2 linked regions of the Struthio camelus genome follow. The protein of the gene in region 1 binds, or shares a complex with, the protein of each later gene. Links are inferred from orthologs where the notes say so. Each region holds a gene or a part of one and is shown in the gene's direction. Other genes may lie near its edges.

Evidence for each region. Proteins that work in one complex are often made in the same cells at the same time.
Region 2: the proteins of GNAI3 (region 1) and GRM4 are in contact, whole or in part, in a cryo-EM structure (PDB 8JD6), measured with the Homo sapiens proteins. The link is inferred for Struthio camelus from reciprocal best matches to the Homo sapiens genes GNAI3 and GRM4. Residues at the interface, in NP_006487.1 of Homo sapiens: Ala31, Lys32, Val34, Lys192, Asp193, Leu194, Thr219, Phe336, Thr340, Ile343, Ile344, Asn347, Leu348, Cys351, Gly352, Leu353, Tyr354; in NP_000832.1 of Homo sapiens: Pro616, Lys619, Ala620, Gly622, Arg623, Glu624, Arg676, Ile677, Ile680, Phe681, Gln683, Gly684, Lys685, Arg686, Ser687, Val688, Ser689, Ala690, Ile694, Ser695, Pro696, Phe781.

What each region holds. Positions count from the first base shown.
Region 1 is NC_090965.1:4,179,557-4,186,896, forward strand, and holds the start of GNAI3 (guanine nucleotide-binding protein G(i) subunit alpha-3), read left to right. Parts: upstream 1-4,192; 5' UTR 4,193-4,424; coding exon 4,425-4,542; intron 4,543-7,340. Other genes in the region: GPR61 (G-protein coupled receptor 61), read left to right, coding at 1,825-3,183. UniProt on the Homo sapiens protein: Heterotrimeric guanine nucleotide-binding proteins (G proteins) function as transducers downstream of G protein-coupled receptors (GPCRs) in numerous signaling cascades.
Region 2 is NC_090965.1:5,638,789-5,646,181, forward strand, and holds the start of GRM4 (metabotropic glutamate receptor 4), read left to right. Parts: upstream 1-4,307; 5' UTR 4,308-4,377; intron 4,378-4,917; 5' UTR 4,918-5,123; coding exon 5,124-5,651; intron 5,652-7,393.

The sequences.
Region 1 (7,340 bases):
GCCCCCTGCGGCCGGCTCCGCGCCCCGCGCGGGCCGCGCTGCCCCCGCTCCCCGCCGCCGGCTGGGCGCTCCCCTCGCCCGTCACCCTCCCCTCGCCCCGGCCCCCTTGCGCTGCCCGGGCACGTTCCCTCTGCCGGTTCCCCGGGTCCCAGCACCCGCTCGGGGGGGCCTCAACACCCGCCGCAGCCCCCAGGCAGCTCGCTGCCAGCCGGGGCGCGGGCTGGGGAAACTGAGGCCCGACACGAGGGCCGAGGCGGTTTGCGAGGGGCGTCCCGGGGGCAAAGCGGGGGGTCGGTGACGTGCCGGGCTCCGTCTCTGCGGACGGGGCCAGCGGCGGGGTGGTGGGGCGGCCCCGGGCGCCGACCCCCGCTCCGCCCCCCCCCCCCAGCACGCCGGCCCGGCCCGGGGCCGCGCTTTGCCCCCCGGGGCCGGGCCGGGCCGCCGGCGGGAGGCGTTTAGGACCCAGCAGCGCGGCTGGTGCGGGAGCTGCCGGCTCCGCTCATCGCCGGCTGCGGCGGCTGCGGGCCCCGGCCCCGGCCCAGCCCCGAGCATCCCCGCCCGGCACCGGGGCGCCGAGCCGGCCGCCGGGGCCCGCCGACCCCCATGGAGCCCCCCCCCCAGGGTAGGTGCCCGCCCCGCCGCCGCTACCGGCGGGGGCTGCGGCGGGCGACGGGGCGCCCCCCGGGGCGGAAGCGGCGCGGGGCCGCCCGCTCGCCCCTCACCGTCGCCCCGGGCCTGCTGCGGTGGGGGGGGGGAGGGAGGAGGGAGGAAGGCCGCAGCCCCGGCACCGGGAGGGGGGGGGGATGCAGGGGGAATGGTGCATAGGGGCTCGGGGGAGAGGGTGGGAGGGTGCCCGGTGCCCCCCCACCCACCCCGACGAGCCTGCCCCGGCCGCCCCCGGGGGGATGCCGGTGCCCGGGGGCCACCGGGTATCGGCGGGACCGGCCGCGGCCTGCCAAAACGGGGCAGGGCCCCGGGGGCTCCCCGTGCTGCCCCCACACCCCGGCCCCGCGCTGGGGTAGCACCCTTGGGTGGGGAAGGGAGGGTGACACCCCCATTGCAGCGGGTGCCCACCCCCCCCATCGCCGGGCACCCCGCCGCGCTGGCTGCCACCCCCCCCCCCAGGGATTTGGGGTGAGGGGTGCACGGCACCCATCCCGGGACGTGTTCGGGGTGGGGGGATAAGGGGTGAGCCCAGGCGTCCGGGCCCAGGGAGGGACTGGGACCGCGCTGTCCCAGGCTGGTCCCAGCCGCGCCATCGGCAGTCCCCGGGCTCCAGGTGTCAGGTGAGGCTGTTTTGGGCTGAAACATCGGAGTTTGGGGTTTTAAGCCCCGGGGTTGCTCGTTTCCTAAGGAAATGAGACATTTTGTTGAGAAAGGAGTTTTCTCAGCCCAGGGCAGCCCCGCGTGGGGCCCGGCGGCTCTCCCCGCCGGGGGGGACCCAGGCACGCCCCGGGGCGCCAGCGGCCGCCGTCGGGGGCTGAGCCGAGACGCCGACGCGCGGGGGCCTCTGATCCGGCCGCCTCTCTGCCTTCCCCCGCAGGTGCTCCGCTCTGCCCGGCGCAGAGCAGCCGGGAGATGAGCCCGCCCGGGGGGAACCCTTGGGTGCGCTGAGCGCCGCCGCCTCCGCAGCACCCGTCCCGCGCCCGGCGGAGCGGGGCCGGGCGATGGCCAGCAGCACCCGGGGCCGCCGGCCGGCGTAGGGCTGGGCCGGGGTCCGGCCGGCGAGGATGTGAGCGCCGGGGGCGACGCTCTGCGGCCCCTCGCGGGGGGCCCGTAGGATGGGCGATGGGCCGGTGAGGGCCGGCGCCACCGCGGGACACCATGGAGCCCTCCCTGCCTGCGCCGTGGGCCTGGAACGGCTCTAGGCCGGCGCGGCCGCTCCAGCCCTCGCCGGGCCCCATGCCCGCCAACGGCACGGCCGACGCCAAGCCCAAGGACGTGGCTTCCAAGTCGGTGGGGCTCTTCTTCATGCTGCTCATCGACCTGACGGCCATCGTGGGCAACGCGGCCGTCATGACCGTCATCGTGAAGACGCCGGCGCTGCGCAAGTTCGTCTTCGTCTTCCACCTCTGCCTGGTGGACTTCCTGGCCGCCCTCACCCTCATGCCCCTGGAGATGCTCTCCGGCTCGGCCGTCTTCGACAGCCCCGTTTTTGGCGAGGCCATGTGCCGCGTCTACCTGTTCCTCAGCGTCTGCTTCATCAGCATGTGCATCCTCTCCATCTCCACCATCAACGTGGAGCGCTACTACTACGTGGTGCACCCCATGCGCTACGAGGTGAAGATGACGGTGGGGCTGGTGGCCTGCGTGCTGGTGGGCGTCTGGCTCAAGGCGGTGGCCACCTCCCTGGTCCCCGTGCTGGGCTGGCTCTCGCCGGACCGGCCGCCGGCCCCCGCCGGCCGCGGGTGCTCGCTGCAGTGGAGCCGCGGGCCTTACTGCAAGTTCTTCGTGGTCTTCTTCGCCGCCTTCTACTTCCTCCTGCCCCTCCTCATCATCGTCGTGGTCTACTGCAGCATGTTCAAGGTGGCGCGGGTGGCCGCCATGCACCACGGCCCCCTGCCCACCTGGATGGAGACGCCGCGGCGGCGCTCGGAGTCGCTCAGCAGCCGCTCCACCATGGTGACCAGCTCAGGGGCGCCGCGCACCACGCCGCAGAGGACGTTCGGCGGCGGCAAGGCGGCCGCCATCCTGCTGGCCGTGGGGGGCCAGTTCCTCTTCTGCTGGCTGCCCTACTTCTCCTTCCACCTCTACACGGCCCTGAGCCCCCAGCCGCCGGCGGGGCGGCAGGCCGAGACCGTGGTCACTTGGCTCGGCTACTTCTGCTTTACCTCCAACCCTTTCTTCTACGGGTGCCTCAACCGGCAGATCCGGGGCGAGCTCGGCCGGCTCCTCACCTGCTTCTTCAAGCAGCCGCCGGAGGACGACCTGCGGCTGCCCAGCCGCGAGGGCTCCATCGAGGAGAACTTCCTGCAGTTCCTCCAGGGCACGGGCTGCCCCGCCGAGCCCCGGCCCCGGCCCGCCACCCCCAGCCCCAAGCGGGACCAACCCCCCGTCGACTTCCGCATCCCGGGGCAGATCGCCGAGGAGGCGGCCGAGCTCCCGGAGCAGCGCCGGGGCGGCGGCGGCGGCGGCGGCGATGGCTACGTGCCGGCGGCCACCTCTCCCAAACGGGAGCTGTAGCGTCCCCGGGGGGGTCAAACACGGCTGCAAGAGGAAAGCTGGTGTGCGTGCCTGGCTGGGGCGCCTGGGGACGCGGCCGCCGCGGGGCTGGGGACCTGCCGGGGCTGTCCCCGCCGCCCGCACCCTCCTCGCCGGGGTTGTGCTTTGCTCCCCAGCCGTGGGGGCCGGAGCCGGGACGTGTCACCCCCCCCCCCCCACTCGGGTCCCCACCGGGGAGGCAGCTTCGGGGTCACAAAGCAGGGAGGAGCTGTTTTGGAGCGTGGCGGGGCCTCGGTTTTAGGGGGTCAGGCGGTCCTGACCGGGAGCGTCTCAGCAGGGTCGGCGGGAGGGGGTCCCCCAAAAGTCCTGCTGGCCCCGTCCGGCCCCGGCACCCTGCCCGGGCGGGCGCAGCCAGGGGACGGGGCGTCCGCCGCCTCCCGGGTGCCCCCGGGCCGGGCTCCCCTCCTGCCCTGGGGCCAGCTGCCCCCGTGGTGGGTGCCCGTCCCCCGGCTGATCTCCGGGGGCCGCCCCTCGCTTTCGGTCCCCGCGTCCGCCCTTGGGGCCTCCCGGGCTCGCTTGCCCCCCAGCGCCCCGTGGGGCTGGGCCGGGTCGAGGCAGGAGCAGCCCCCCGTGGTGGCGGGTGCCCTCGAGCGTGGGGCAGCTGGGGGGGAGCGAGGGAAACACCCCGGGCAGGGGGCTGCCACGGGCCGTGGGGCTGGGCCTGGGCAGGGCCGGGGCAGCTGTGGGGCTGGCGCAGCTATGGGGCCGTGCAGAGAACCCCCTCCCCTCCCGCAGGGCCTCCCTCAGGACTACAACTCCCGTCACGCCCCGCTCCACCGAGGCGGAAGTGAGGCGCCCACCCTCCCCCGGCTCCCATCACGCCCCGCTCCACCGAGGCGGAAGTGAGGCGCCCACCCTCCCCCGGCTCCCATCACGCCCCGCTCCACCGAGGCGGAAGTGAGGCGGGGCAGCCTCCAACTCCCCGCATGCAGCGCGTGGACTACCAGTCCCAGCGTGCCCCGCGCCCCGCGCGGCGGCGGACTGCATTTCCCGGCGTGCCCCGCGGCGGGCGCCCGCGCCCGCGCGGCGCCGCCCCGGGGCGGTTGGCGGGCGGGTAACGGTCGCGGCGGGGCGGATATCCGGCGCCGCCTCACGGAGCCGCCCGCGCTGAGGGGAAGCGAGAAGGCGCAGCCCCGCACCGGCTCGGCTCGGCTCCGTCTGCCCCGCTCCGGCTCCCCGGCGGCGGGCCGCCCTCCGCCGCCATGGGCTGCACGCTGAGCGCCGAGGACAAGGCGGCGGTGGAGCGGAGCAAGATGATCGACCGCAACCTGCGGGAGGACGGCGAGAAGGCGGCCAAGGAGGTGAAGCTGCTGCTGCTCGGTGAGGAGGGGCCGGGCGGGGGTAAAGGGGCTCTGGGGAGGGGAGAGGGCTGGGGGGGGGTCTTGAGACGGACTGAGGGGCTCCGGGGGGGGCTTGGGGGACTCTGTAGTGCCGGGGGGGGGAGGTGTTCCAAGGAGCCTCTAAAGGGGGGGCTTAAGGGAGCTTTAGGGAGCGTTTTGAGGGGGACTGGGGGCTCGGAAGGGGCTTGAGGGGCTAAGGAGTCTCAGGAGAGGAGGCTTGAGGGAGACCTCCAGAGTCCGGGAGGGGGTTGAGAAGGCTAAGGGAGCTCGAGGGAAGGCCTGGAGAAGCGTTGGGACGGCTGAGGGCTTTGGGAGAGGACTCCGGGGCTTGGAGAGGGTGAAGGAGTCCCTGGGAAGGGGATTTGGGGCTTTCCAAGGGCTCCAGAGGGTTTTAGGGGGTCTTTGAGGGGAGGAGCCAGGTGGTGAGGGCAGGACTATCTGGAAGGGATTGAGAAGGGGTTTGGGGGAGGCTAAAAGGTCTCTAGAGGGTGAGTGGTGGGGAGAGGGGTGTCTGGAGGGATGGTGAGGTGACTGTGGGGTGAGCAGGGATCGAGGAAGCTGTTGGGGTGTGTATGTGTGAGGGATTACCCAGAGGGATGTTGAGGGAAGAGGGGTGAAAGTGTTAGCAAGACAAAGAAGTTCAGGGGTTTGAAAGGGGGAGAGGCTGGGATGAGGTAGGGTTCCTGTAGGAAAGCTAAGGGAGTTGTGGGAAGGGCTCTGAGGTGAGTCTGGGAAAAGGCCGTTTTGAGGGACAGCTCTGCCTTTGTGACACTGGGGAGGGTTTGGCGCTTAGTGTGGTTGCCAGCCTCGGGCATGGGCCTGACCCCTCGCTCCACCCTGGTCCTCCATCCCTTTCCCGGGGTTGTTACCTGCTTGGTGGGGCTGCTGGAAGACCATAGCCTGCCCCGCTCCCTTAGGATTGCCACCCAGCTCTGAGGAGGGAGGAGATGGCCTGTCCCACTCTCACCCACGGCAGGAGCACGCTGCTCTCTAGCACGCTGTCCCAGGGTGGGGCTTTTTACTAGCCAGACTCTGCCTGATGAAGTAACACTTCTGTCTGTAGTGTGGGTCTGAACCTTACCAGTCTTCCTTCCTGGTTGCTTCTGGGTGATGTCTGTCTCTGGTGGCTTTGGTCTTGGGCTCTGGGAGCAGAAAGCGTTAGCTCCGCTGTCTCGTTGTTCCTTCATCTTTGGGTATCCTGTGCTTGCGTGACAAAGATCACTGTAAAACCTCTTGCTTGTGGCTGAATACTGACAATATACAGTCTGTAGTCATGCAGGCATGCTCGTTCAGCTTTTTGCTTCAGATAGGGTAATGGAATTAAATCCTTTTATCTGGTAGTTAGCTTTTACCCTGAAAATGGCTCTTTGGACGCCTGTTTCTCAGATCAGAAATGCCCGCTCTGTGTAAGCTGTCTTTGCTAATCATGCTACGTTTTTTGTGCCTCATGCTACCACAGTAAAGATCCTGTGATAGGATCTGACTTTGCGCAAAAGATGAGATGTGAATCCACCTTACTCTTCCATAGCTGAACTTGTTCTGCAGAGCTTGCAGGAGCGCAAAAAAGCAAAAGTGTTGTTGTTGCTGCTACCTCAGTGCAATCTCTATATGTACAGAAAACGGAGCAGCTGAGAAAGGAAGTGTCAATTCTGTGCACTTTTATTTTTTCCAGCTAAAAGGCATTCATGAATCTTTGAGAGGATCTAAATGGAATAAAATGTTTAGTGGAGAACTATCTTCTTATTATACTTCCCTGAGTGGATAAATATTTAAGGATTGCAAATAACTTGCCATATTTGGTCTATGTTCTAGTAACCATGTTTAGAAGCCCTTGTTGAGTGATAAGTAGGGTACAGAGAAGGAAAAGATGCCCTTCTCTGATGAAGCCTGCTAGATATAGGCAGACTCCTGTTCCATTTCTTTGCAACTTCAAATGAGCTAAGGAATAAGCAGTGCAAATTTAGGGTTGTAGGTGGACCCATCTGGTCATGTCATGTAGGTCGTCGTCTTCTAATGTCCATATGTTTTTTTGTTACTTTGACATTCTCCATTTCAGATGGAGACAGATTGAGTTCATGAAGACTAGAACAATGACATTTAGTTCTCCTGTTAGACTGGGACACGTTGGCTAACAAGTCTGCTTTCCAAATGATCTGAATCTCAAGAATCCTTTTTTAAAACTTGTTTTTACTTGTATCCTTGTAAGAGGTGCGGCTTGATGTTCTTTGTGGCCGTATTGAAAAGCATTTTGGAGCTAAACTGCATGACCTCCTCTTCAGCAAATGACAGAGTTGAAGGAGTACCCAAAAGATTATGCAATAATCGGTTTCAAAGCATATTAATGTAGACACAAGGTGAGACTTTCAAAAGTACAAGTAGCAGCTGTATTTTGGATCACTTCTCTCTCTGATCTGTCTCTAGCCTCATTTAAAAAATAGTGCGCTCGTATCAGGTTTGCACTTGGCCATAACCTGCAATAACTTAAAATGTCAAGGTTTTCTAGTGTTAAAAATTAGCGTAACAATTGCTAGTGATTAGAGGGAATACCGGATTGTGCCAAAATGTACTCTCCTCATATGCAGCTTGTTAATGTGCGGGTGAAGCAAGATAGTTAATTGCTAGGAGAAAATATTTGCAGTAGGAACATGGGTCCTTTCAGTGAGACATCAAGAAGCTGATGGAAAAGTTCATGAGTTTTTCCATGGTTTGAGCAAGCACTTTTTCTTTGGAACACATTAAAATGTCCAGGATAAGATATAGTAATAACTTATCATTGTT
Region 2 (7,393 bases), about 1.5 Mb from region 1:
ACTCTCCCACCGCCTCCCCAGACTCAGCCTGGCCGTGCACCACTGCGCTCCTCCTCCTGCTTCGCGCCCGGTGTGATGAGTTTGCCGTGCTCTGCTGGCCGGGTTATTTTTCTGTGGGCTGCTTCGGTCGGGGGGGGGGGGGGGGAGCAAGCTCTGCTTTCAACCGTGGCTGCGGTTTAGAGGCCGGGAATGAGTCATCGCCGCTGCTGGTGACCTGTGGCTCCGGGTTTGAAGGGGGAACGGCAGAAGGCAGGTGTGAGGCAAGCGCTAGAGGAGATCGCGGATGCTGGCCGCTCGCCGAGGCACGGCCTGGAGAGGAAGGGAATGGAGCCGATCTGTTGAACGCGGCGAGGAGCTCGGGAAGATGCCAAGAGAAGTGCCAAAAGAAAAAGCTCATTTCCTTTCCTTCTTTCCCTTCACGTAAACAAGGCTTTTCTGCACCAGCGCAGCAGGCGGGGGGTGCGGCGGGAGCGCGCTGGGCACAGCTTCGGAGGGCCGGAGGGGACAGCCGGGGGCCGAAACCTCCCCGCAGGCTGCCGCCTCTGCGCCGGGAGCTGTGATCTTGTCTCTCCGGGGCGGGCTGTGCCGAAATCCCGGCTGCCTCGCCGGGGCTGCGCGCGGCTCTGGGGAGGGGAAGGCCAGCCCCGAGGGCTGCCGCGGGGCAGAGCTGGGGTCGGGCCGGGGGTCTCCCGTGCAGACGAGCAGCTGAAGAAGGTGGCACGGAGCTGCGCTGGGAGCAGCGGGCTGGAGCTGCGGGCTCCCGGGCTGGGATGGGCAAGCTGATTTTGGGGGCCCCTGGCTGGAAGCAGGCCCCGGGGGAGGAAAGCTTTGGTTCAGTTGGATGCTACGGTCTGTAGCCTGCTGCGCTCCCCCTAAAAGGGTGTTTGGGCTCAGCTCCTGCCGTGGGCACCCCGGGGTGGCCGTCTGGGCATGGGCTTGGCGGCTCTGTCCGTCCCCCGCGGAGCCCCCCGGCAATGCAGGGCTCCGGGTGCGCCGGCATGGGAGACACTGAGTGGGGATTTCGGGGAGGTTTTACACCCAAAACCGAACGGCAGCCACGTCCCGTTCCCGGCGCAGCCCCGAAGCGGGGCGCAGCTTTGCTGCCGGCTACCCGAAAAAGGGTGTCACGTGCCTCAGCTTTGGCATCAGGCAGGAGGGGGATGGATTTGTCAGCTCAGCCACCCCCTTCCAGCTCTTCCCCGAAAGGGAACAGCCTGAAGACATGGCAGGTCCTAATTATAACGTGCGCTAACGCACCCCCCGACCTCGTGCCCGCCGCGGGCACCGTCCCTCCCTCTTGGGCTTCGCGCCTTGTGGTGGGGTTTCGTCCCCCCTGGGGTGGACCGATTTCCCGTGCCCGGTGGGGACGGTGGTTAAGCCCCGCTCGCTTCCTAAGCCGGTGCTGTCCCCGTTCCCGATTTGCAGGTGATCAAAAATTAATCGTGGGATTTCTGTGGTGTGATCGGGGACGGGGGCTGGCTCCTTCCTTCCCTCCCTCCTCTCTCCCGCGGCGCCCTGGCTGGAGCTGTTTGCCGGCGTGAGCTGTGCTGCTGCCTCCTCCTCGCCCTGCCCCGGCCGCGTGCCGGCGAGGGGTTAGCGCTGGCCTGCTGTGCACGGGCCAGGAGAGCGGGAGGCAGAGAACTTGCCTGCAGTTAAGGATATATATATATATATAAAATGATAAATATTCCCTGAGTCTGATCTGCAACCCAGGTGGAGCTTTTATCAATGGATTTTGGGAGCCTCCGGGTCGGGCTCTGGGGCAGGGAGGACGGTGGCAGCACCTGGCGCGAAGCTGGCTTTTCTGGCACGCTGATTTGGGCTGAGCGTAGCTGGTGGTGAACGGGGAGGTCGCGGGCAGCCCCGGGGCACCGAGGGCGGCAGAAGACCCCGGCGTTAGCGGGACCGCGTCCCGGAGAGGCAGCGCGCGGCTCGCTGGTGTTTGGGTTGGGATCCTGCACCCGTTGCGGTTAGCGACTCGCGCCTGGCTCTGGCGATTGCGGCCCGGCGCGTGCACCTTCGTTAAGGTATCGGGTGTATTTTCCTGTTAAAATCGGGGGTCCCTGCTTTCCAGTGCCTGCTCCGCCTCGGCCTCGCTTTGCTCCTAGGCAGGCGAAAGCCCAGGTGCTTGACCTGAACGCTCAAGTTTGTGCCTGTCAAGAGATAACTTACCCTGGCCTCCCCTCGCCTTGTCTTTTGCAATTAAAGAAAAAAACGGGAGCCAAAGCAGGTTCCCTGCAATAGCTCACAAGCGAGGGGGAAAAAACTAGCGTAGGCTAATTGGGATATTGTGCTGCGCTGCGGCTGTCCCTGCTTGCCGAAGGATTCGCAGGTGGGGAAAGAAACGGCCTTGATTGTCAAAAAGACACCGGCGAACTCGCGGCAGAAGCGGGCAGCAGCCCTCCCCGTGCCGGGGTTTCGGTCTCCCCTGCGGGACGTGGGCTGTCGGTGCGAGGGTTGGGGCAGGGGGTCCGGCAGGACTCCTGGGCCCCCTGCGCAGCTCGGAGCAGGGCTAGGGGGATGCCTGGCTAAATAAGTCTCGAAATCGCCAGCGACGCGAATTCGTGGCGCGGCTGGACGCGGGCCCGGCCCCGAGCGCCGCGGCAGGCGGTGGGGGGGACGCGCGGAGGCGAAGGCGGCGGGTTGCTCCCCGCCGCAGCGCTCGCTGCCGGCCTCCGCTGCCCGGCCCCGCTGGAAAGCGCGGAAAAGGGGCAGCGAGACGAGACGGGGCGGGGGCTCGCGCGGGCGCTTTCGGCTTCGTCCGCTCCGCGGCGGCGGCCGTGAAGCCTTCGTGCCCGACGCTTAGCCGGCGCCTGGGCTGGGGGCGCGGGGGACGCTGGGGGGGGGCAAAATAACTTGGTTTTGACTTGGAGTCCTGCAGGGACTGGAGAGAAATGGGCTGCTTGCTTGTTTGCTTGTTTATTTTTTTAGCCCCCCTGACGGAGCGTCTTCACCCCTGCGACGCCCTCGCGTCGGCTGAGCCGGCTCTGCTCCTGGGGAGCTGCAGCGGAGCCGAGAGCCCTCCAGTTTCCACCAGCCCCGGGGCGTTTGCCGTGCGCCCAGCTCGGGGTCGCAGCCGGCGGGGCAGCGCGCGATGCCAGCGCGGGCTCCCGCCGCGCGGTTCGGTCCTGGGGCCGCGGCAGCGCCGCCAAATTCTGCAAAAAAAAAAAAAAGAAAAAAAAAAAAGAAAAAAAAGAAGAAGAAAATGGTGCGGCGCGCGAGCAGGAGGGGATGGGGCTCCCTCGCCGGCGTCGCGGCGGCAGCTGCCCGGGTTTGCTCGAGCCCTGCCGAGAGCGCGTCCTGGGCGCTGGAGCTGCCCGTGTGTCCGCGGCATCTCGCGCCCCTTAGCGCCGAGACGCCGTCCTGGGGCAGCACGGGGACGGGACGAGGGACGTCCCCTCCGCCGGGGGCGTCTCCCGGCAGGTGCGGGGACAGGGGGCCGGGGAGGTCCGGGGCCGCCCCGGGGACGCGGAGACGTCTCCCAGCCCTCGGAGGAAGGATGAATTTGCCTCCCTTGGGGCAGCCGCGGTTATTGCCCTTGAGCTGTGAGGCCGGCGTGGGCAGAGGGGGGCCAGGGCGCTCGTCCCCCGCTCCTTTCCCGCGAGCCCTCGGGCCGCCTGCGGCCCCGGAGCGCGGGATAATTCCGGCTGCGTCTCCCCTCGCGGTTCAGCGGGGGGCTCGAACCCTCCTCTCGCCGGTACTGACGCTTTCTCCTGGCCTGCCGTGATATTTTTACCTTCGGCTCCTTCAGATTATACGATCAAAGGCGGCACAAAGGCGAGAGAGCAGAAAGGAAAAAGCTTAGAAGAAGGAAGGAAAAGAGGCCGCGGACTCGTGGGATGCCGGCAGCTCCGCGAGAGCCGCCGCGCTCTCGGGGCGCGGAGGATTTTCCTTGTAGCGGATGCCGCTTGCAGACCCTTCCTCCGACGGGCAGAAACGATCCAGGTCCTCGCAGGAGGATGGGGAGAGGGGGAACGACCTGATTGAAGCCGGCCCGGAGCTGCCACGGGCAGAGCCTTTCCCGATCCCGCCCTTGCAGCCGGGGCGGTTTGGGAGCCGCCGCTTGCAAAGCCCCCCGCCGTGGTTTCCGCGGTGGGGCCGAACGCGGCGGCTCTGCAGGGCTCGGCTCGCCGGGCGGCTTCGGATGCCCGTGCCCGCTCCCGGGGGCGCCGGCGGGAGCTCGGCCGCTGCGCGGCGGGCGCTGGGGCGAAGCGGGTCGTGCGCGGCGGCGGTGCTCGCAGGCTCCCCCCCTTCCCGGAGCGGAAAGCATTCGCCGCTGACTAATTCGGATCGCTTAAAAGCCCCGGCTGTCAGAAACGCTTTGGAGATCGGCCTTCAAGCGGCTCCGGCAGGCAGGGAGGTGCATAATTTATGGAGGTGAGTTGAGGCAAGGGCCCTGGCGGCCGGGGAGCTCTCCTCCGCGGGCGGCTGTGGCCTCGCGTCCCTCCCGCGCTGTCCTCGGCGAGCCCTTCCCAAAGGGGAAACCGAGGCAGGGGCGGCGGGGCGTCCCGGCGGCGGGCACGGACGCCGCTCGGCCGACCGGGCTCGCGGGCCGAGGAGCGAGGCGAATGGGGCCGGGGCAGGCTCTGAGCGGCTGCGCGCTCGCCGCCGGCGCTGAGACCTGCCGGGCTCGTCGCTTTTGTGAGGGTGCCGGGCCGGCCGGGGCTCTGCCGCCCGGTCAGCGAGCTGCCCGGATAACGTGTTTCGGCTGAGTCAAAGCAGCGGGCGCGAAGCAGAAATCAAGCGCATCCCAAATCTTTTCGCCGTAACCCGCAGCGCTGATTTCTGCCGGGCTCCCTGCAGGAAGGTCTGGATCACTGATGTCCTCCTCGTGCTCCGGCTTGATTTTTTTTTTTTTGTGTCCCCCCCCCCTCCCCTTTCTCTCCCCCCGCTGTTTTCCACCCTCTCCCTTTCCAGGGCTGCGGAGGAAGGAGCCGAAGCTTGCCGTCGGGGCTCGCCTGGCCGCCGCTCTGCCTGGTGATGCGAAGCTCCCCGACGGGCCGCCCCGATCCGGCTGTCCGGGCAGGCGCTCCCCGCCGCGGCGCGTCTCCCATGCGGGGCCGGCGTCGCCGCCTGGCCGCAGGGTTTCGGGCTGCGCTCTCCGTCCCCGCACGGCTTCGGCGATGAGCGGGCAGCGGGGGGGTTCTTTTCGCATGGGGCGTCTGTCGTTCTGCCTCCTGCTGAGCGCCTGGAGCTGGGGCTGGGCGCCCGTGGGCGCCGCCAAGCCCAAGGGCCAGGGCTACCCGCACATGAACTCCATCCGCATCGACGGGGACATCACGCTCGGGGGGCTCTTCCCCGTGCACGGCCGTGGCTCGGAGGGCAAGGCGTGCGGGGAGCTGAAGAAAGAGAAGGGCATCCACCGCCTGGAGGCCATGCTCTTCGCCTTGGACCGCATCAACAACGACCCCGAGCTGCTGCCCAACATCACGCTGGGCGCCCGCATCCTGGACACGTGCTCCCGCGACACGCACGCCCTGGAGCAGTCGCTGACCTTCGTGCAGGCGCTCATCGAGAAGGACAGCACCGAGGTGCGCTGCGTCAACGGCGGGCCGCCCATCATCACCAAGCCGGAGCGCGTGGTCGGCGTCATCGGCGCCTCGGGCAGCTCCGTCTCCATCATGGTGGCCAACATCCTGCGGCTCTTCAAGGTACGGCGTCCCCCGGCACCACCCCCCCCCCCCTCCGCTGCCACCTCCGCGCTTGCAAAAAATAACCGCCAACGTCTGCAAGCGCTTTCGGGGCGTCTGCGCGTGCTGGCCTCGTCCTCCGCGGCGGGGGGCAGGCGAGCACGAGCGTCTCCAAAACCCGTCTCCCGGCGCCCCGGCGATGCCCTGCTCCGTCCCCCTGCGGTGACGACGCTCTTTGCTCGAGGACTTGTCTTTTCGTGGCAAGGCGGGGTGCCGGGGAGGTTGGTCGACGGGGGTACGGAGTGGGGACTGGCTGCGAGGGGCCTCGGGAGGGCTCCGGTCCCGCGCCGGCTCCGGGGTCAGACCCGGTGGCTCGGGGCTTCGTCCCGTTGGGTCTTGAGATCGAAGCCCCTGTTGTAGGGTCCGAACAGCGGTTCGGGGCGCAAGGTCTCCGGCGCGGCCTCGACTAACGCTCTCGCCCAACCTGCTTGCACGCGGCGCGTCCCCTCGCTCTCCCGCCCTCGAGCTGCCCCGTGCGAGCAGCCCTTCGGCCGCCGCTTGCTCCCTTCGCCGTTTATTTATCGGAAGCAACGTCGCCGGGCTGGAGGGAGCGTTTGAACGAGACCCCCCCCCGCCGCCGCCGCTGCGGGCTGCAAGCGCCCTGCTTTGCCCGCAGAGCCCAGCTCCGTGTCTAGGAGTTGCTTTCCCCTCCCAGCGTCTTGGAAACCATCTTTTGTCCCCGACCGGCTGCCTTTTGCCTTCTTCTCTTTTGCCCCCCTCCTCTTCCTGCCTGCTGCCCGGCGGGCTGCAAGCGCCGCGCGCTCTCCTGGCAGCGCTGGGAGCTGTTAGCGCAGGCGGCGAGGCAGATCGCAGGTGGAGCTGGATTTTTCTGGATCCCTTTTAAAAAAAAAAAACAAAAAAACAAAAAAAACACGTTAATGTTCCAGGCGACGGGCGAGAGGGCTATTCAATAATTAAAACAGTATAAATTAAAGGGAGCGGGAGGAACTTAAAAGCTATTTGCCGAGACGAAAAAGATTGAACGCTCGCTTCGGAGAGGAGGAGGGAGAGAGGGAGGCAGGATGGCAGTGGGAGGAGGGGAGGGTAACTAAACCGTTTTGGGGTGTTTTCTTCTCCCCCCCCCCCCAGGATTTCATTTTAACCTCCCCCAGTCTTGCTCCGTAGGCAAAGCAGCCGGGAAGGATGCGGCACGGCTCGTGGGACGCCGAAGGAGGCGGCTTCGTGCTCTCGTCCCCGGGAGAGGCTTTTGCGGGGCTCTAATCGAGGGGGAAAAGGGCCGCAGAGGGCAGAGACGCAGCCCGGCTGGGCCTGATCGCCGTCGCTTTTTGCTATTCAAATAGCAGGTTGATGGCACGGACATGTGCGATGCAAATGAGACAACTTCAGTCTCGCACGGCTGCCGACCTTGAAGCGCGGGCGCCTCTGCTCCCGAGCGCAGCCCCGTGCGCGCGCCCTTGCCTTTTCCCGTGCCCCCGACCCCGGCGGGACGAGCTTTGCTCCGGGGCCGCAGCCGGCCGCTCGGCTGCCGCCTTGCCAACGGGAGGAAAGCGGTGCCCGCGCGCCCTGTTTGCACCCGTCAGCCCCGTCCCTCCTGCCGCCGCTCCCCGGCGGCGCCTCGCTAAACCCGCCGTTAAAGCCAGCCGATGGGCGGCGGGACCTGTCGCGGTCGCACCGGCCCCGGCAGCATCCCGCTTGCAATACCCGGTGCCGGGCCGCTGCGGCCCCCCGGCTCGGCAGCAAGG